Lepisosteus oculatus: one gene and its partners. The protein of the gene in region 1 purifies or fractionates together with the protein of each later gene. This does not show direct contact. Links are inferred from orthologs where the notes say so. Each region holds a gene or a part of one and is shown on either strand. Other genes may lie near its edges.

What was found.
Region 2: the proteins of sp1 (region 1) and pparg purify together in Homo sapiens (affinity purification with western blotting; 3 studies listed by BioGRID). This does not show direct contact. The link is inferred for Lepisosteus oculatus from reciprocal best matches to the Homo sapiens genes SP1 and PPARG.
Region 3: the proteins of sp1 (region 1) and protein kinase C delta type purify together in Homo sapiens (affinity purification with western blotting; 3 studies listed by BioGRID, with this or other methods). This does not show direct contact. The link is inferred for Lepisosteus oculatus from reciprocal best matches to the Homo sapiens genes SP1 and PRKCD.

Annotation. Positions count from the first base shown.
Region 1 is NC_090696.1:17,809,661-17,816,694, reverse strand, and holds the start of sp1 (transcription factor Sp1), read left to right. Parts: upstream 1-4,017; 5' UTR 4,018-4,199; coding exon 4,200-4,206; intron 4,207-4,916; coding exon 4,917-5,014; intron 5,015-5,450; coding exon 5,451-6,933; intron 6,934-7,034. UniProt on the Homo sapiens protein: Transcription factor that can activate or repress transcription in response to physiological and pathological stimuli.
Region 2 is NC_090699.1:62,232,094-62,238,977, forward strand, and holds the start of pparg (peroxisome proliferator-activated receptor gamma), read left to right. Parts: upstream 1-3,883; 5' UTR 3,884-4,060; intron 4,061-5,469; 5' UTR 5,470-5,502; coding exon 5,503-5,566; intron 5,567-6,884. UniProt on the Homo sapiens protein: Nuclear receptor that binds peroxisome proliferators such as hypolipidemic drugs and fatty acids.
Region 3 is NC_090699.1:66,104,259-66,111,779, forward strand, and holds the start of protein kinase C delta type, read right to left. Parts: upstream 3,002-7,521; 5' UTR 2,779-3,001; intron 1-2,778.

The sequences.
Region 1 (7,034 bases):
TTGTATAATAGTTATATCACAATTTGTGGCGTTTTACAGAATCGTAGGATAGTTGTTTGTTCATCTGCATTTGCAGACTGCTAGTATGAGTGATTAGCTCAAACAACACGATATCCACCGTTCGATTATTACTACTGAGTTATCGCCAGCAGCCATATCACCCTGCAATTCTCAACTGGCAGCTTACTGAAGCTCAGCAGATGTGAGCCTGGTCAGTACCTAGAGGGGAAGACCTCCTGAGAAAAAACAAGGCTGTTGCTTAAAGAGGTGTTAGTTGGACCAGCAGGGGGCGCTCACCTGTGTGGGTCCTAATGCCCCAGTATAGTGATGGGGAGACTATACTGTAAAATAATAATAATAATTGCTTACACTTATATAGCGCTTTTCCGGACACTCCACTCAAAGCGCTTTACGAGTAATGGGGATCCCCTCCACCACCACCAATGTGAAGCATCCAAATAGGCGCCGTCTTTCTGATGAGACGTAAAACCAAGATCCCGACTCTCCGTGGGGACTCTCCAGGGGCGTTTCTTGAAAACAGTAAGGGTGTTTCCCTGGCATCCTGGCCAAATTTCCCATTGGCCTTTACCAATCATGGCCTCCTAATAGCGCTTTAAGAAGACACCTTTAAAGGCACTATATAAAATAAAGTTTATTATTATATATATAATAATCCCCATCTCTGAACTGGCTTCATTACTCTGCTCTCCTCCCCACTGATAGCCGATGTGTGGGGAGCGTTCTGGCGCACTATGGCTGCCGTCGCATCATCCAGGTGGGGCTGCACATTGGTGGTGGTGGAGGGGAGTCCCCACTACATGTAAAGTGCTTTCTGTTGAAAAAAAGAGCTAGATAAGCGTAAGGATTAGTATGATTTAGAATTTTCGTTGTCTTCTAAGCACAACGTAACTCGAGTACCAACTGGAGCTCCTGGAGGTGTAATACCAACATATGTCCAGACGGTGACAGCAGACGCTAGTCTTAAAAGAAAGTTTACAGACCGTCGTTTCCACGTCTCTTCTTGTTGAACTCTAAAAAAATAATGGTTTTGTCGTGCACATTTTGGAAATCGAATCGAAAGCCTCGTCGTCAGCATTATCACAGAGCCATAACATGTTTGACAACATGGAAAATCAAGAATAACGGTAGTTCTCACTCCATATCTTAATGAAAGACGGGGGGGCTACATCCGATAAGATTCACAGCGCGTTCTTGTTTAGTTTATAACAGGCGGCTTGTCGGCGAGCGAAGTGTTTATAACCATTATCAATCGGCCAGGAATAAAGCACTGATGTCCTAACTAGCTAACTTTAAACCTTCAGAAATTCTGTTCTGACCCTGAAGAGAACAGGACTGGACATTTGGGAATATACCAATGCAATAGGTTATCTCCAATTTTGTTGGGAGACCACTAAGGCTATCTTTCAATATTTTTTCTAGTGTCTTCTACGCAGGTCTCACGTGTGTTGTTCCCGATTTCTTAGTTTTAATGAATTCTTCTCTCTGCATGCTTCAGTTTGATCGGACAGTACCAATTATTACGTTTAAATCAGCCTTTACCACGTTAAGCCATAGCTAGGTTGAATGCAGAACAGGTCTTCAGCATTTTTACACAATCGACTCGCCCTTAGACGCCAATTAACAGGGCGCTTGGAATTCAAACCTCCGCTTGATGGGATTTAGATCAATCAGTAACTTAAGTTTGAACCGCTTTGATCACATTGGGGGAAAAATACTTTCTTATCATTTTAATTTGTTGCCTTTCTCGCCTCCTTTCAACTGTTAACAGGCCAGAAACGTGGCGTTCACACAGTTTGTCGGAGTTAAGATTTGAATTCCTTGGAAAAAATACCATTACACAACTTGGCGACCACAGTACTCAACAGACCGAAACCACGCTCAGAGGCGTGGGGGGAGGGGGTTATTTAACTGCAAATCCTTCAGTGAGGAGAAATAGCCCATCGCCCTCTGGTTTAGAGAACAATGGCTACAGAATAATCGTTTCAAACACAACTGGAATAAAAAACAAACAGCCCATAAGACACATGCGGATAAAAGCCCGATAACCGTGGCTCCGCTGGCGAAGAGCTCTGAGAGGAGGCTGTGTCGGTAAACCCCCCGCTCGTCAACTCCACCCCACGGAAAGCCCGCTGTTTACATGTTGGAAAGCATGTGCTTCTGGGTACACCCTCCAGCACCCCACCCCCTCTCCTGCCCTCGCAGGCTCAGGCGCTGCCCCTCCCCCACGGCCGCCTACCGCTCTCCCAGCCCTCCAGCGCCGCACAGGGAGGGGCCCGCAGGAGCGCGAGGTCTCTGCCTCTCATTCATAATCCGCCCGCCCAGGAAAGAGAACCCCGCACGAGTATCGGAGACTCGGCTGTCACAGCGCTTAACATCTCTCTGACCACGATGTCACCGAGCTGTGATACACTAGCTGGACCGTGCTCGCGTTTCGCACGCACTCCTGAAGGTGTGTGTCTGCGTAGGAGCCGCACAAGACAAAACGGTCTTTGGACATTTGCGGGCCAGATCACGTCGTTGCGTTTGGCACCCGTCAGGTAGCACACGAGCCTGAAAAGTGGGTGTCTTTTTCCGCAGTGTCCTCACTGCAAGAGTTAAGGCATTATCTGGTTACTTCATGCTTCATGCTTAATGCATAACCCATGCTCAAGAAGGGTTACAAGAGAGAGGAGGCCATTCAGAACATCTAGAACGTTTGTTAGTAATTCATGGATCTTTTCTTCTAAAAGGTCAGGGTATCGTTTGTGTGGCTTGTTCCACACCCCCACCCCCCTTTTGTGTAAAGAAGCCCCAGATCTAAATGCTCTCGCAGGTAGCTCTCTCGGTGTCGGCTGAGGAAGCTCACCGAGTTGCCTTGGGCAGGTCTACATGGACACGGACCTACCACGTATGTTTTTAAACACGGGAGTTCCCAGCAGATAAAACAGCAGCCAGTGTGAGCTGACCGTGACCCTGGTTACAGGGCTGCCTCTCCGTTCTGCAGGTGTATGTGCGAGGGTGGAGGGGGCAACAGCGCAGTTCACAATGAGAGGAGCCGGGGTGCTGCTGGATTGTGCTGGTTTCACTGGGATCGTAGACGGGACTCCCGCTGGATCAGTACAGAGCTTTACCCCTCGGCAGTGTCCGGGGCAGGGAGGGGCAGACAGGACAATTAAACCCCAGCCTGCCTACCCCTGGTGGACTTTCACTCAGCGAGCGAGTGGTGAAACTCCTAAATGGCCAGTCTGCACTTTCAGAGGAGTGCCCAAAGGCAGGCGAGTTGCTCTGTGAAACACGAAACATCAGCCTCCTTTCTTACGTTCGTATTACACAAAGGGCAGCGGGAGAGTGGAACAAACTCAGAACAAGAACCTTGGCTTTTTTTTTTTAGAAAACAGCTGGGTTAGATGATGAACTTAATTAACTGGACTAGAAAGCCTGTCCTTTTAAAATATAGATTTGAACCGGTTGTTTTGGTTTTCCTCGAGGCTGGGCTCCCAGGTACTTAATTGAACTGAAAATGGCTGGGACAACATGCATGTATCTAAAAACCCACAGTGGTGCGTTTTGTTATTGCATAAAAAAGCTTTCTGATACTGTATTTTAAAAAAAATAACAGTATTTAAAACAGTTATAGACCATTTTCGCTTTTTAAAGAATGTAATAATATAGTAATGCAATATCATTTGTGACTGATTTCCAAAAAATCTCCAAACGCTAGAAAAGGGAAGAAAAGGATGACATCCGCTTCATAAATACTAGAACCACAGCAAGCACGGTTTGCTAATGGCGCCTTTTCCGCCAAAAAGAAAATCCTCCCTCCTGTACAGACTTTGAGCCGTTCCGTAAACGGTACAACCTACCCAACTTGACCCCACCCAAATACCCGCCCCCAAGCTCCATTTCCATTGGATGTTACTGGCAACTCAGCGGACATTCAGAGTGATGATTGGATACAATTCCGCTTCCATCTCGCTACACATTCCAAACCCACGACCAACGACACAACCAGACTGAACTCGTAAAGACATCCTCCAGACAAATCCGATTGGCTGTCGTAGTAGCAGGGCGCTCTCTGATTGGCGAAGAGGGCTTTCGCTCTTCCCTCGGTGCTGTGGCGCCGCGGGGTTTGGTTGCACCGTCTCTAAGTTGATGTCAGCCCCTCAAGAACCCCAAGAAACTCCTCCCGTCAGAACATAATGAGTGGTAAGAAACTTTTTTTCGTTGTTTTAAAGACGAAAATTAAAGAAAGAAAGAAAACGAAATATAAAAGCTCCGCAACTTTAGAAAATAATGAATAAAACCATAAAGTCGTATTCTAACAAAAACCCGCTGAAGTAGAAAGAGGTCTGGGTTTCGTGAGGACTGTTCTTTTTTAAAGTTTTTTTTAGCCTCAAGATTAAACAAGCTGGGTTTTCCGTCGTTCCACTTTCACTGAGGACTGGGGTGACCCTAAAAGTTCGATGTTTAATTGGATCAGGCTGAAGAGGAGTTTAAACGGGGGGGTAGCTCGTCGAAACGGACACTTAAGAACAGCCGTTCATCGTTACTACTTTCCTTTCGACAAATAACAACAAAGAGCAGATTTAGCACGAATAAAAAAAACAATATGATCTCAGATAACACTCGGAATATCTCCCCCACATTGCTTTTAATCTCTGGCCGTGGATCACTGCGTTTACTGGCGTAAAACAAAACGCTAAAACATGTGAGGAAAAAGAAACCCAGGTACACCCGGATCAATTCTCGATTTTTTTTTGGTTGGAGCGATACTTTTTTTTTTTCCGTGGTCGTTTTGGCACGGTTGCGGATTCGACATAGGAAACCCGATTTCTTTTTCTTTTCAATTAATATTCCGCCGTTGGCTGCCTAGTATTACCCCCTTCCGCGCTGTGTTTTTCCTCCCTCTCCCTCAGATCAGGAACAGCCGCGAGACGAGATGGCTGCCCTGGCCGAGAGCGGCGGCGCCGCTTTCCTTCAGAGCCTCGCGAAGAGGAGCGCGAGCTCGGGGCAGGTGAGCGGCGGCTCCTCGCCGGTCTCCGCGTTCGCGTCGGGCCCGCGAGGGGCGAGAGCGCGAGGGAAGAGCTGTGTTGTTGTGCTCTGGGGAGGGAGAGGACCGCGGCCGGTCTGCGGCGGCGGCTCCGGCGTTGTTGCTTGACCCGGGGAGGCTGGTGGTGTGTTTGCGTGTGTGGCGGCGATGGGGGGCCGGGTTTGTTGTCGCTCTCGCCCTGCGCACATGCTTGTTTTGAAAAGCGGGGCGTGCGGAGCCGGGGTGTTCCCGTCGCAGGCTCCGCTCTCTCAGAGCGGTCCGCACAGCCCACTGGAGGCTTGGCGCTGGAGGGGGAACGGACAGGGGGGGGAGCGAGCGCGGGTGGGTGGAGAGGTGGGTACGCGTGGGCCGCCCTTTTCGCCGGCCGTGGTAACCCCACCCACCCCGGTGTCTGTTGCAGGACTCCCAGCAGACCTCCCCGCTCGCTCTGCTGGCGGCGACGTGCAGCCGGATGGAGTCTCCCGGCGAGGGCGAGCAGGCGGGCTCGGAGCCGCCGCCGCAGCAGCAGCAGCAGCAGCAACAGCACCAGCAGCAGCTGGACCTGAACTCGGCCCAGATCGCCCACACGGCCAACGGCTGGCAGCTCATCCCCGTCAGCGTGCCCAGCTCCGTGGGCGCCACCACTCTCAGCCAGGCCGGGGGGCTGGGGGGGGACGCGGGCAAGGGCAGGCCGGCGGTGGCCACTAGTGCCGGGGGCGGCCAGCAGCAGCAGCAGCAGCAGTTCGTGGTGGCCTCTGCGCCCACCCTGCAGGGCCAGCAGGTCCTGACCACCCTGTCTGGGGTGATGCCCAACATCCAGTACCAGGTCATCCCCCAGTTCCAGACCGTGGACGGGCAGCAGCTGCAGTTCGCCACGGCGACGGGTGCCTCTGCCCAGGTGAGCATGCAGCAGGACTCCGCCGGGCAGTTCCAGCTGGTCTCGTCCCCCGGCGGCGGCCAGCAGATCATCCGGGCGGCGGGGGGCGCGGGCGCGGGCGGGGGCAACCTCATCGCCATGCCCAACCTGCTCCAGCAGGCCATCCCCCTGCAGAACCTGGGCCTGGGCAGCAACCTCCTGCAGAACCAGGGCTCCTTCCTGGCCAACGTGCCCCTGTCTCTCAACGGCAACATCACCCTGCTGCCGGTCAGCGCCGGCGGCCAGGCCGCGGCCGGCGGGGCGGGGGACGCGGGTTCGGGCGCCTCCCTGCAGCAGCAGCAGCAGCAGGTCCAGCAGGCCGTGTCCAGCGCGGCGGGGGTGTACTTCTCCAGCGCTGGCTCGGTCGTCACCTCCGCGCCGTCGGTCAGCAGCGCCAGCGGCTTCGCGGCTGGCGGCACCACGATGACCACGGTCCAGGCCCAGCAGCGCAACGGGGGGCTCGTCTCGGGGTACCAGAGCTCGGGGGGCGCCGTGCAGCTGCAGGGCAGCCCGCAGGATAACAGGGACTCCCAGCAGCAGCAGCAGCAGCAACAACAACAACAACAACAGCAACAGCAGCAGCAGCAGCAACAGATCATCATCCAGCCCCAGCAGCTCCTGCAGGGCACCCCCACCCTCCAGACCCTCCACACGGGCGCCGTCCCGACCGGCCAGGTCTTCGCCACGCAGGACGGCCTGCAGAACCTGCAGTTCCAGACCCTCCCCAACACCAGCCCCATCCTGCTGCGGACCGTGGGCCCCAACGGGCAGGTCAGCTGGCAGACGCTGCAGCTGCAGAGCCCCGCCGGCGCCCAGACCATCACCCTGGCGCCCGTGCAGTCCCTGCCCCAGCTGGCGCAGAGCCCCGCCGGCGCCGTGACGGTCAACGCCGCCCAGCTGTCCGGCCTGCAGACCATCAACCTCAACACCCTGAGCAGCGCCGGCCTGCAGATGCACCAGCTGCCCATCGCCATCGCCAACCCCGCAGGTGAGTGAGCTTTCTGCTCCAGCTGCGCAGCCCGTCACGCAAATACACAGCCGTATCCCAATTCCAGTTTGTCTATGCAAATTTCTTTAAGGTAAAATCAC
Region 2 (6,884 bases), on another chromosome or scaffold:
TGTCTGTGTATCTTATGTATGTAATAGTATTGAATTGGAAACTTGTTACAAACGAGTTCTCTGCTTAAGGTGGCACAACCTGGAAAGGGCAGGTAAACATTCTCTCAAACATTGGATTGTATTAGATCCATTGTACAGTATATTAAATACCTTATATCACAGTCTGTATTTGTTATGTAAGCATACAAATGTACAGGAGACCCAGTAGTGGTAGACTTCATTCGAAGAGATGTGCATCTGTTTGAAGGACTTTGAACTTCACCAATAAATGGAAGGTGTGTCAGTAGCAGCAAATCACTGATTAGAAAGTGCCTAATGGGGCCTCTGGGTCTTTGTCACATCATGTTCCTGCTCACACGCAACTTTCTGAGCCTCCATGAATAAACAGCCTCCCTGCAGGTAGAATAGCCCGTGACCAAACAGGCATAATGAGTGGTGTATAGAAAAATGTGCAATTGCTTCTTCCTGCTTTTCGTAAAATATGTCATCAGTTTGCACCTCATGTTATGAGGCTGCACTCCATGTCCTCTGTACAATTTAGATTTATGTAAAAAATGTAGCTCTGTGGCTAAAGATCTGTGCCTGTGGCTAGAAGCAAGGTCCTTAACCCCAGCTGCTCCAGGGGCACCGTATAAATGGCTGACCCTGCGCTCTGACCCCAAGCTTCTCTCCCTGTCTGTGTGTCTCATGGAGAGCAAGTTGGCGTATGCGAAAAGACAAATTCTTAAAACAAGAAATTGTATATGACCAATAACGTGATCTTATCTTATCTTAAAATACCCCAAAACGGTGAAGGAACCTTGCACAGTGCATGTGGGTTTTTTTTCTGTGCTTTTTCAGCATATGAATAACTGTCTGACTTGTACTGACCTCATGAGATATTCAGAATTGTGGGCTTCAACCTGCAAAGATGTTGTCACCTGAGAGCAGGTTGATCTCTGTGATGAAAGCTTCAGGGGTTCAGTCCTGGGTCGCGTCACTAACTGATGGTGACTGAGATTTCCCCTTAGTGTTTGCGCCAGATCTGGCTGAGCACCACAGAAAAAAAAGGGGTGGGATTAGTAAACTGGGGTTCTCTCGGGTCCCAGCAACCCCCCAGATTTCCTGGGTGCTCTGGGGGAGGTGCTGTCATGTAATTGGGGTTCCGTAGCCAGTGAAGAGTGGAAGGCCTTGAAGGCAGAAAGGTAAGAGGAGTCTTCATACACTTCCTCATTCTTCCATGTGAGGTTGCGGGGTTCATAGCCATTAGCTGAATCAGGTAAAGTAAAAATAGGTGATTCTAAAATTCAAACAAAAGACTCCAAATGGTGTTTTACTGCCTAAATCCAAAGGTGCAGTGAAGGCAATGGCACTTTTAATTAAGGTGATTTTTTCAGATTGTAAAATTTGGATATATAGGCTTATAGCTGAGTTAAAACACATATTAGAAAACGTATTAGAAAACATATTAGAAACTTTAGCTGTAGTGTAAACCGTACTCCTCATATAATAAAGTCCAGCTCATTTTGTGAAACTGTGAACCAGATTCCATCATATTTTTAAGGTACCTAGTGTTCACATATTTTAATCCCATTACATGACTGAGCACAACATTCTTAGGAATCAGTCTGGATTTGTCATCTACTGTTTGCACATTCTGTAGGTGTTCATATAATCTCATTTCAATTCTAATATTCATATCTACATTTCCTGTCACTAGGTTTGTACTTTAATTTTATGCTTTCGGAAAATGGGGAGCATATTTGGCACTGAAAAACGTTGAAAATCCTCATCTTAATCTTTCGAAGGCATTTCCACGTCAGTGCTTTAGAAGCGATCATGTAGTCTAAAATTCAAGGGCTCGCCATAGCATTACATCATAATGAGCTATGAGTTTTATTTTCTCTTGATTACAGCCTTGTTCTTCACCTCAGGAGGTGTGTGCCTGTAAGGCGAGTAAACATGGCCTTCCTGTTTAAAATGAAAACAATAGGGAACAAAGCAGAAAAAAGCCATAGAAAAAAAACCCCGTAAACTGATCCCATTCAGAGCTGGCTCTTCAAGAGTGAGGGGAGGTGAGTTTTCCAGGTTAACAACTTCCAGTCTGGATAGGGGGTAAGCCCTTTTGCACACTTTTGGGAGGGGTCTTCAGAACTAAAATTTTACCTAAAAAAATCCCAACAAACACTTAACAGCTCGAGTCAAAACCCTAAGTACCACAAATGTTCCTTTAATGAGGGTGGCAGCTTGTGGTTAATGGCATTTCCATACTGTGAATCATTATTTTAACCACTCAGCTCCTGCCTTTCCTAATATACATTGAGGAGTGGTGTCGATTCCTTCTGCAGGCTTGCAGCATCCGAGATGAGTAAAGTCCTTGACTGTTGTGGTTCTGTTCCTTATCCGCGAAGGAAACTCAGCTGCTCCCAAAGGAGTAATCGGCCGTTAACTTGTTCCTATTAAAAGAAATTAGGCAAAAGGTTATGTCGTTATATATTGTGCAAAATCAAATTCCCAGGGAGCTGGACAATAAAGATTTTGGGATGTGCAGCACTTGCCAGAAGTGTGTTATTGAAAAAATTCCAGTAAGACTTGTGGAATCCCAAGAGTGCTATCTGGTAAAGAATGATATCTTCTCATAGAGATAACATAGGTTTTGAATTTATACCTTAAAATTGATCTTATGTATCTGCAGCCCAATTTATTCTCACCATATGTGTTAAAATAAATACTGGTGTATGTACATTCATGCTTATTCTCAGAATATAATTAGTTTAAATGCCTTTCTGTAGCACTCAACCAAGAGTTGAGTTCACCTCTTGTCATTAAGGTTCTACACAGCTCCTATTCTGACTTCCTTTGTGGTATAACAGACTTCTACAAGTTGTCTTGCGTGCCCTATCATATAATCATTTCAAATATTGGAGTGCCATAGTAACTTATTTGAGTTTATTTGCCCACTTCGTGTTGATATTCTTCATTTTAGCCAAACACGTACAGTACTACTATGTTTGAATCACAGCTTTACCATGACTAAGATTTCATCTTTTGAACATGATGCAATTTTGTTGCACGTGGACCCATAATATGTTTTATGCCACATCTTGACCCACATCTTGTAAAGCTCTGGGTTAGCATTGGGAAAAAATAAAAAATACATTTTGTGCTAACCTGCAGTCTAACCAGGTGGTCTGATTCATGTGGTAGAATTAATGGATTCAAAGAAAATTAATTTTCTAACCTTTTTTCTGTTTTTTAGAGATGATCTTTCGAAATTGCTTATGACTCTATGTCATAAGCTAATTTCAGTACAAACTTTGATCCACTGCTTAATAATGTCATGAAATATCTTACTTTATGTGTTTTTCATCACTGTAAAGCAATTTTTCCTCATAATAAAATAGTAATTGTATTGTTTTTTGGTCTTAAAATTCCAGTATTTTTTAACTTCCAACTGGAACCACGTGCTTCTGTGATAGATTCCCATGACTCTTACCAGGAATAAGCAGTTTTTAGATAATGGGTGGATGTAATTGATCGAAACACATTCACATAAGTTTAATTTCAGATATTCATTAAACATTTCAGAATATATTATTTTCAGGGACACAAAATTGTAAATCTTGTTCAAATAGTGCTTAGTTAACATTCAGACTGTTTTTTATTTTATTTTATATACATAGTAATAGTACCAAAGTTTGCTTTCATATGAAACCACCCAGTTCTACGTAAAACAACTGCAGGATATTGGCAAGACAAAAAAACTCACAACAAAAAACATTATCTGTCCCCCATCAAGAGAAGTGCAACTGAGTGTCTGTAAGTAGGAATGAAGCAACAGGAAGTCATCTGCGTTTACTAATACTCCACACTGAGGCCACATGATTGTTAGCTGTCTGCACTTTTGCTAAGGTTATGTTGTGTCAAAAGCGGAAAATGTGTGTTTTAGTTCCTACTAATTGGGCAAATCCACCAAGGGCATTACCCACTTGCTAAAAGTCAAAAGTTCATCGCAACCACCTCAATGGAAAAATCATAAATTTTGGATGCCAGATGTCACAGCTTTTTAAAACAGTGTATGGTGAGTGCTGACCCTCGTCTTTTTTTATTTTTCATGGAGTGTTAGTGAATTGGTTCCCTAGCATCAGCATCAGCATAAGTTCTGCCAGTCGGCATTTCAAAACATCCAAAATGTGGAGGGAAAAGGAAACTATTATAAACTAGTATAACAAAAGCAAAAAAGAAACTTTTCACACGACTGTAACGGCTCTTGAATTAGCCATGGAAAATATATTTGTGAAGTTTTAGAAATTGTATAAGTTTGCTAAAACCTATAACACCTAAAATTGTCCAATTCTGGTCCAGCAGGGCGGGTGTGTCACAGCCCTCCCTTAGATCAGATCTCATCTCAGGATCAATAAGAAATATCTGTTAGTCGAAAGTGTCTATGTATTGAAATATGAAATATGTCTATTCTTTAACAAGCAAACAAACCTCTCAAGTAGTTTATGTCTGTTGCTATTAAAATATTATTTCAGCTCCTACTGTACGTGGAATACTAACAATTTAAGGGAAGAAATGTCTGATTTGGTAAATGATTCAAATTAGATAAGATATTAATTTGGAAAATGCAATAAGCTCGGGGGGTTTTCCCTCAGCTTCACATTTTGTACCACCCTGCTGATCGAAGAAGGAGGTTATTTCAAAAGCCTACCGTCGCGTTTCAGCGATGACCTAAATCTGAACTAGCCTGGTATACAGAAATGTATCATTTTTCAAAATGTAGAAATTTTGAAAGGTTGCGCGATGAACTAACCTGGGCAAAGAAACGAACTGCTGCCAGGGTCAGGAGTTCACAGCCTCTTCTGTTCAAGAGGCAAAACCCTGCTATTGGTTTTGAGGTTTCTTACTCAGCGCCTCAGTGTGTTCTCTGGGCTTTCCACTGTAGATGAAATGATTGAAAAAGCAGAGGTGTATGTCAGGAAGCTGGACAATTTTTACATGTAAAACCTATTCTGCACCATATGATTTTGAAACAAATGATTTGTGTTCATCTGTGAAGTACAGTATAAATAAACTTTTTCTCACTGAAAGTTATTTTTTTGTAAAGATGTCAAACTGTAAAGATATTCTCAAAGTTGACTCCATTTATCATATCTTTTTTTCTTTACGCATTTGATAATGTTATGTGTCTAGACAGCTTGCAAGAAGTATTCTAGTTCTGATTGCACAATAGTGTACAGTGCAATACAGGGTGTTCTTCATAGTAAGCCCTGCTCATATTTTGGAAGAATCTTGAGAATTGTGTAGGTGTTTCTTAAATATTATTTTATTACTGACATTGTTATCTAGTTCCCTTTAAATATTCATTGTTTCTTCTTGGATTAAAAGAGGTGATAATATGTATGCCATTTGTAGCCAGTTATTTTATTGTATACATCTGACCTTCGCGTATCCATGTGGAAAATCTATACATTGTTTTTTTTTCAGGACAGTCACCAATGATAAGAGGCCATTCTGGTGATGACGATCATTCGGTTCCGTTTTCTTCACAGTCTCACTACTAATACTGGGAACAAACCCCCAAGTATGAAATCCCCCTAAACATTCCCCCCAGAAAGGGATCATTTACAATTGCCACTAAAATTTAACAGTTGTGCTAACTGTCATGCTACCATGGTGCCAGTGTTGAAAATGTAAATGTGATAAATCAACCAGAAACTAAAAAAGATCCCTACCCTTTTATCTTGATATTTCTCTTTCTATGACACTTCAAACATAATTCCAGTTCTTCATGTCTTAGAAACAGGTGGCTGTGATAAGGATATGAGAAAGGTTGTAGTTGGCCCTTTCTGCCCGTTTAGTTGCTAGTAGCTAATTAAACTGAGAATCTCAATCGGGAATTTTTTGGAAAGAAGACTGGGCCTTGGCATCAACAGCAAGGCTCGGGATCTTGTTCCAGACTCCCACAACCCATTTGGAGGTTTGGAGATTTAGATCTGTTGTTAACAGAAGTAGCTGGAGTAAATGGTGACCTCTTGTTTGGAACCCTTCCTGCATTCTTCTTTAAAAATCTTATCTTCCCTTTGGAAAGTGTAAATGAGTCCATTGCATTGTACGCTTTGATTATTACATTCATGTTCTCCAGACATGTTTGTGAAAAAACATTGTCACACAATAAAGGCATCTCCAGGACGGATACGTAATAGCCTTTTCAGTGGCACCTGTCCTAGTTTCCCTGCAAACAATCTGTTTTTGAACTAACTGTTCCAGGATTTCCATCAGACAGGCACTCAGGAGTGTCACACAGCTTTACATAAGACATTTCTTCGGGAAAATAGGCCTATCTCTGTATGGAACAACATTTAAAGTTCTAACAGTCATAAAGTATACGCAAATGTAAAATATCCTTCTTACAGTATCCATTCCCAAACATTTCTGTCAGCCTTGTCTCCTGGCCATGAAGTTAATTCAGACCAGGATTTCTGTGGCATAGCATCAGAAATGTAAATATGATACTATCTCTGAAGATAATGTAGTTTCCACTCAAATCTTAAATATCTATGCATTAGTCAAGGATTAAATTGATTAAATCAAAGCAGACAAGTCGGTGAAATATCTGAAATTATTCAGGTATTTTCTGATGTAGCTTCTTTTTGTTGTAGAAGCTATAATGATTACAATACAACTGACAAGAACATATACTAAATTGTAAAGTTTTCTAATTCCAAGAAGAGAGTTACAGAGTAAGGAGATCCAAACATAAATAAAGGTTGTTGTGAAGACTGGGCTAGCTGCTTGTTTAGTCATATTTCTAGGATGACTTATCCTTTTTCAAGATATTGCTGAATGTGGTCAAACAGGTTGCACCAGTGTTAGCCCTGTTCTGTACAAAGATGGTAGCT
Region 3 (7,521 bases), on another chromosome or scaffold:
CCCGAGCTCGCGCCCTGCCCGTCAGCCGGGACATCAGCTCAGGGCACCTCACCGGTCCTCAGACAGCGACCCCACACTTGACCTGCTAGCTCCTGTGCCCTGGTCTCCGCCCTGGACCGATGCAACCGACAGACAAGACCGGGGGGGCCGCAGGAGGACAGGAGGACAGGAGAGCCGAGGACGACCCCCCCCGCACGCGCGTTTGCGCGTTCGCCGGAAAAAGAACTTCTGCTTTTCTTGCGAGTTCCTCAAACTCTTCTCAGAAGACGGGGCTCCTTGAAAAAGACTGGCTTGCACAAGGCTGACCACAGCGCAGACGAAAAGAGAGAAGTGAAAACAGCACTCCTCCCAGATGGGGTCTCTCACGGCCGGGCCTGGACCTGGGCCCACGCCGGCCCACAGGGACCCGCGCCGCCAGCAAGACGAGGGGAAGAGGCCCACGGAGCGTGTTGAGGTGCAAACACCAACACCGGTGTTTATATCGCTGTACTGCCCCGTTAGAAAACCGGAAGAGAACCGAGAAAAGGCTCTGAACCAGGAGTGCAGGAAACCCTTTTACACAAAGAGTTGTGGGTGTGGGGAGCAGGGTTTCCAGTCAGGTGGCCAATCCTACAAGCAGCAGCTGGACAAAATGGGTGCTTAATGACCAAACGATCAACAGCCTCGTCCTCTTTTGCAGTCCTTTATTAAGTTCTGGTAAAACTCCCACATTTCCAATGTTTTCCGGGTTTTTGTTTCAACCCGAGCAGTCGATTAAGCAATTAACCCCATTATTTCCCAAATGAGCCGTATATAGGTCTTTTACAGTCGATGACACAAGACAGTCGCTTCATTGAAGGTTCAGTCACCTGGGAATCACCTCGGCGCGCGGACAGAGGCGTCGCAGTTCTGCAGTTAAACGATTAGGCCGCCGAGAGAATGTGGGTGGAACAGAAACCAGACAAGCTGCATTCCTGGAGGCCTGGAGCTGGGACCAGCCTGAGACATTTTCCACTCCAACACTTACAATCCACAGCAAGGAGATGACCAGGCAGAGGGGAGAAGCTCAGGGCTGTTCTCTCTGCTGGCCTGGGACAGGGAGGGGCAGGACAGAGCCGACCTCCCCACCCCCCCTGGACCGACAACACCGGGGTCACGGGTCCAGAGGCGCGCAGGGCCCGGCCCGGCTGCAGGGGGCGCACAACCTGCCAACCCACCGCCCAGGCGTTCCCAGGAACGCAGCGGGCGAAACGGGGATCGATCCCAGTCTGGGCCCGGAGCGATCAATACCGCGCAGCCGAGAACCTCCCCAGGCTGAGCTCCGGCCTCCTGCTCTGGCCCGAGCCCTGATCACAGCTCTGCAGCGACCCGCGCTCGGCACTGGTGCTGGTACTTTATTAGCCCTATACAATTTCTCGCATTAGGAATTCGTCTTTTCACATACCCCAGCTTTTCTCCATGGAGACACAGACACACAGACAGGGAGAGGAGCTGGGGGTCAGAGCGCAGGGTCGGCCATTGTACGGCGCCCCTGGAGCAGCTGGGGTGAAGGGCCTTGCTCAGGGGCCCAACAGAGTAGGATTCCTCTGCTGTTTGCGGGATTTGAACCGGCAACCTCCCAGTCACAGGCGCAGATCCTGAGCCACAGAGCCACAGCTCCGCCCCGCCTCAGCAGTCCTGTTCAATTCAGCAAAGGCGTGAGCCCCAAACTTACACACTAACCCCCTCACTCTCGGGGTGACCTCAGTCCTGTCCCGGGCCCACGGTCCCTGCAGAGCAGAGCCGCCACTGTAATCGCCCCCTGCAGCCCGAGCACAGGGACACACTGCTGCCCCCCCGCGGGGCGGGCGGCTCCACCCGGGACACTCTCGCGAGAGGGGCCCCACGCGTGGAGGAGGGTCCCCGGAGGCCGTGGACGGAGCGACTGTACCCCACCTGCGCAGGTGGGACAGGTGTCTACCTCCGCACAGGAGCGCGCACACGCCAAACGGCTGTTTTCCCAGTGTTTTTAGAGACGCTTACAACAACAAGACGGATCTGGGATCTGTTGCGGGCTGGGAGGTTTAGCAGCTGTCAAACAGAGTGGAAACAGGTCCGCGGTCTCGCTGTCCCACGGACCGAGACACAGGCGGGTGCAGAGCAACTTCCAGGACGGTACAGAGCACAGACCGGCCACACCGTCCCGCGAGGGGGAAGACCCACGCAGAGCTCGGGATCCCACGTACACATCAACATCACCCCCCTCCTCTTCCTCCACGCAGAGAAAGCCCCTTTCAGACCGGCAGTCCGACCACGGCGGAGGGTGGAAGAGATTTTCAGAAGCCGAAGGACACGCACACGCACACGCGCAAAAAAAAACAAAACTTCTTGAAACGCCCCGCGGCCCCCAGCCCGGAGCCCGCTCGGACAGCGCGACCGCCGCCTCAGCCCAGCCGAGCGGGGGGACCCCGGGACCCCGCCGGACCCGGCGCCCTTCCTCCACCTGGGGACCCGGGAGCGGGGGCTGAGCGGACCGGCACCGCGCCTCTGCCCGCCTGCTTCTGTGTCTCTCGCTTTTGGCGGCGAGTTTCTCGGCCGGAGCCGCCGAACTCTTCTTCCTGTCTCGTCTCGTCTCTCCCCGCCCCGGCCGACACACCGAAACTCCACGCAAGCGGCGCGGAAGAGCGCGACACTGCAGCCCGAAAGTTTCGCTGCCTGCAGATCCGGCGGGTGGGGGCCAGTCCTCTCGCCGCGGCGGGGGGGTTATAAGAGTGGGGAGCCGCCGCTATCGCCTCGCACAAAAAAACCCAGCTCGCTCACCTCTTGCAGCTGTTGGCAGCGACGCCGCGGTGGCCCCGGGTCTCGGCTCGCTCCGCTTCCTCTCTGCGCTCGCTCGCTCTGCCGCTCTCTCTCGAGCCGCGCCGCGTGCTGGAGGAAGTGTCTCTCTCGCGCTCGTCTCGCGCAGCGGCACCCGCCCGGCGCTGTGACGTCGCTCAGGTGCGGCTCAGGCGGCAGGCGGGGCGCGCTCACTGGCCGGCCAAGGTAGGGGCGCGCTCCACTTGTACTGCCACCTGGGAGGAGGAGGAGGAGGATGGGGGGGGCAGCCCGGGCCGTGACGAGTTTCGGGTTTTCTTCGCTGCAGTTTCTGAGCGTTTCCTCCGGCCGAGCAGATCGCAGGAGCTCGTCGCGATCCCTGCGGGCTGACGCGCTCGCTTCCCGAGACAGTCGAGCGAAAGGTGGGTTTGCGTTCTGGGCGGGTTCGGAGGCCGGTCGGGGACTCCCCGGGACACCCACAGATCCCACCAGTCCGCCCGTCTTCCGTGACGCCCAGGCTCAAACAACAGCTGCCAATGTCTGAAATCCAAACAAAACGTATAAAACATGATGAAACACTGATTCCACAGGGAACTTGACCGTTCCAGAATAAACAAACGCAGTATAAATGTACACAGTACTGAGCTGGAGCGGAGTAAGAACTGAGAACAGCGGTTCTCAGCAGCTTCTGAACACAGAGGGCTGTGGGGGTGTGGAACAGGCTGCCCAGCTATGTTTTCCTTCCAGAACCAGTAGGGTGAGATTCTGACCCCTCTGGTTTGCTCTTGCTGTGACCTGAAGCGCCAGGCCAGTGTACCTGTGTGAGCAGCAGACCGACTTCATTAAGGAAGAGTCACAGATGACAGAAGCCCATCTAGCCCCTTCGGGAGTTACAGAAACGGGCTCTGGACTTGGCTTGTCCCACACTCCACTGAGCTCCGTGTGGAACTCTGTGTTATTTTGTCTGGCTGTGCGGCGCAGCCCAGGAGCTGGACTGGGTCCCCAGCCGACGCCAGGAGGGCACTGTACTGGCTGGACTTGTTCATTCATTGCTGACACTATTGGAGGGTCCGGTGAAGTCGCCCGGAGCTCCACTGGGCAGCTGGCCGCTGGGCTGGAGCTCAGGGGAGGTCACGGGGAGATCGTGGACCCTCCTCGTGCTGAGCCACCAGCTCACTGACCGACTGGCCAGGGACAGAGTGACCCCCGCTGGGCGGACGTGTCTCGCTGACTGGCCAGCCCAGGGGGCGCTGCTCTGGGCCGAGGGCAGCTCCGGCGGGCTCAGCCCCTCCCTCCCGCGGGGGTGCAGAAGTCAAGCCCCGGCACGGGTTCAGAGACGTTTTGAAACGAGCGTTAATCTCTTCCGAAAAGGCCGTTTCCGGAGAACCAGCGTGGCTCCTCCTGCTACACTCCGTACACGATCACTCTCCAAGTCTTCCTATAATCCGAGAGCAGTCCTGGTCAATCTCTCGTGTCCTATAAATGTGTCACGCAGAGAGAGATTGCCAGACACAGCATTTTTGACGTGGTTCATTCCTGTCTTCTATGTGAAATATCACTAACTCTCTCTGCAAACGCTCCACGCGTTGATGGAGCCCACAGGTGCCCGTCTCTCCTCCTCCGCAGAGCTCAGCCCAGTTCAGAACGAGACCTCTCTGATGGCCGAGGGGCTCAGCCTGCACGCCAGGCTGGTCTCTGCAGGCCAGCGACCCGGGAACCCACACAGTCTGCTCTCCGCTCTCCGGCGCACAGGAGGGAGGTCAGCACGACTCGCCTGAAGATGGCAGCCGAGGGAGCTGTCCCAGCAGGAAGAGCCTGAGCCTGGTCCCGGAGGGCCACGGTCCAGCCGGCCAGCTAGCGGGCTCAGGTGAGGCAGCAGTGTCCAGCTGTGGTCCCTGAGAGAGACAGGAGAGACAGGAGAGACAGGAGAGGGATTTTCAGCTCACAGGGTCTCTAAAGTCCTTCTTGCACCAGGGCACCTGCCTCACTGGTCACAGCCACACCCTCACAGGAGTCTGGGGACTGATGGTTTAGGGGTGACCTGAAGACCCCTGACCCAGGGGCTCCCCAGGACCAGGGCTGGGCACCCCTGGAAGAGACAGACCAGAGAGACGCAACAGGGGGACCAGGAGGGAATGTGACGAGACACTGTGAAGGTGGGAGGACAGACAAGATGGTGACAGGGGAGAGAGACAGGGGACAGCTCTTCTGTCTCGGGAATGTGAACATCTGCACCCCTCCTGACCCGAAGCACAAGGTTGTCCAGGCAGGGATGTGGAGTGGGAGTGGGAGTGGGAGTGGGAAAGAATTCCAGACAGGAGCCTGTTTGGAGAAAAGGCCTAAGATCTGCAAAATCGTAAGAGAGGGCTGCTGGTTTAGAAGAAATAAACAAGTCAACTCATGAGTCCTCCGTGACTCAGCAAGTCCGTGTGTGTGTGTTTATGTGTGTATTGTTCTGGGAACATGACTGAATTTCGCCACCACCTGGAAGTTATGACAGCACGGGTGACTGTGTACTCTCAGCGCTGGGATTCCCCGCTGGGCTCGGAGCAGGAGAGACCCGCAGGTGATCAGGTGCCTGTCAGCTTGGGCGTGGGGGCGTGGGGGCGTGGGGGCTCGGGGGCCACGCGGGGCTGAGTCACCACTGCGCCGACAGGATGATCTCAGACTGCAGGGATGGCGTGTGGACAAGCCGCATCACTGTCTTCCGAAGGATTCGCACTTCCTGAACCCGGACTGCAAGCCTGCGTTTCTTTTTTTAATTAATTGTTAACAAAGTTCACACAGCGTCCATCATTAAGGAACAAACAAGACAGACAAGAGAACAAACACACACCAACAGGGAAACCCCAGCATGAAAGGAAACCCTTTACAACATCATAAAGATACAGATCAAGAGATCTCTAGCTTTCTAGTTACATAGCCCTGTCTCCTCTCCAGATCCAGCACAGCTCCCCTCCTTCCTCAGTTTGTTTGCTGTGATCTGCTGATTGTCCTGTACTTATTTTTAATTAATAACCTCTGGCCTTGATGCGGAATGCAGGCACCTTCCTTGTGGGATCAGGGATCGAACTCCGGAACGGGCAGTTTGAAGCAGCCAGTCAGAGTATCCTGTGTGTCTTTGGAGAGGCGGGAAGGATCCGGAGGGCCTGGAGGAAAGACAGACAGACACAGGAGAACATGCAAACTCCACACAGACAGGTGTGCAGTGCAATAAGCAGCCCAGAGAAGGGCACCCAGATACATTCTGGGGTTTAAGCGACTGTCCTACACTGGGCATTCTTATTGAAGGAAATAAACCTGTTCAGTCTTTAAGAGATAGGAACAGGTTTCACAATCCTCAAAGCCCCTGACAATGTCAAGCCAGCAGATTTCTTCCGAATCAGCTGCTGGCCTCAGTGACTCATGAACCAGAGCACACAAGTGGAAACTCTGTAGAGATGCTTTAAAATCCGAAAACAGGAGGCACGTCTCTACACAAAGGGTTGTGGGGGTGTGGAACAAGCCGTCCAGACGCCGTGGAAAATGCTGACATTTCGGATTCTAGCAGGAACGACTCGGTGGCCTCATCCCGCTTGGAACCTGTCTTGTGTTCTAATGATTTGCGTTAGTAGACGGTGTTGCCGTGTTACAATCTCCATATACAGGAACTGGCTCAAAAACAGGGCTGACCCAGAAATGTCATCAGCTCAGTTTGCTCAAGCCCGGCTGGTACTTCATGTTCAGCTTGTTCAGCCATCCTCCTCCATCCTGTTCAGAGGTAATCGGGCGGCTCTTCTTGGTCTGACCGTCGAAGACGTCTAATAACAGAGCAAACGATGTTCTCGCCCGCTGCTGACCCTGTGTGCCCTAAATGATGCTCCCAGAAAGAGGTATTCGTCCCTGCTGCACTTGGGTCTACCTTCTGATTCCGAAATTAACATTAAAGGAAGGTGTTTTACGCACGCCACACATTTCATTAGAGCAGGTTTAAACCCTTCCCTCTCTCTCCTTTTAAAATAGAAATGCAACACCCTGCAGTGAAGGGCTGGAGCCTTTATTTATCTGCGTGCTTGTTCAGACTCAGGTGGCAGGACAGAAATAGCCCTTCTGCGTGGCCCGAGCGCAGGTAAACTAGGCCAGGCTGTCTCTTCCCCCACTGTGCTGAGCGCGCTGCACTGAGGTGGACTGGGGTGGACTGGGGTGGTCGCAGATCTCTCAGAGCCCCAATCTGCCTTTGTTCCTCCAGGCTTCCGGCTGTCTGTGACAAGCTGCCCAGCCAGGCTGCTGAAGCCGATACCCCGGCTTCTTTCGAAGAGATGGCCGCTTGAGATCCTGGGATCAATGAGCTACGAGCTCCCTAACAGGATAGATGGGCCTCTCTTTCGTGACCTGTCTTGTGCTCTCAGGAAGGGAGGGCAGCTGTCTCCTCTATGTACGCCTGGACTGGGACTGCTGCACTGTGAGCCCTCCTGGTAGAACAGCCACTGTCGGGCCTCGGACTGAAGAGCTCCGCGGGCCGCCACAGCCCCAGAACCAGTTCCAGACGAGACCAAAACGGGCTCCACAGAGTCCTGCCATCCCATTGAGTCCAACATCGTTCTTTTGCTTAGGTTGTGCTGTAAAATTGCACCAAGAGACATAAATGGCTACATATGCTAATATAGCTTTATAATATTATTGTAATAAAGAACTGCTACCAGATTCTTCCACTGTCACCCAACACTCCTCTGTACTGAACACATCCCTGCCATAAAGAGACACAAAGGA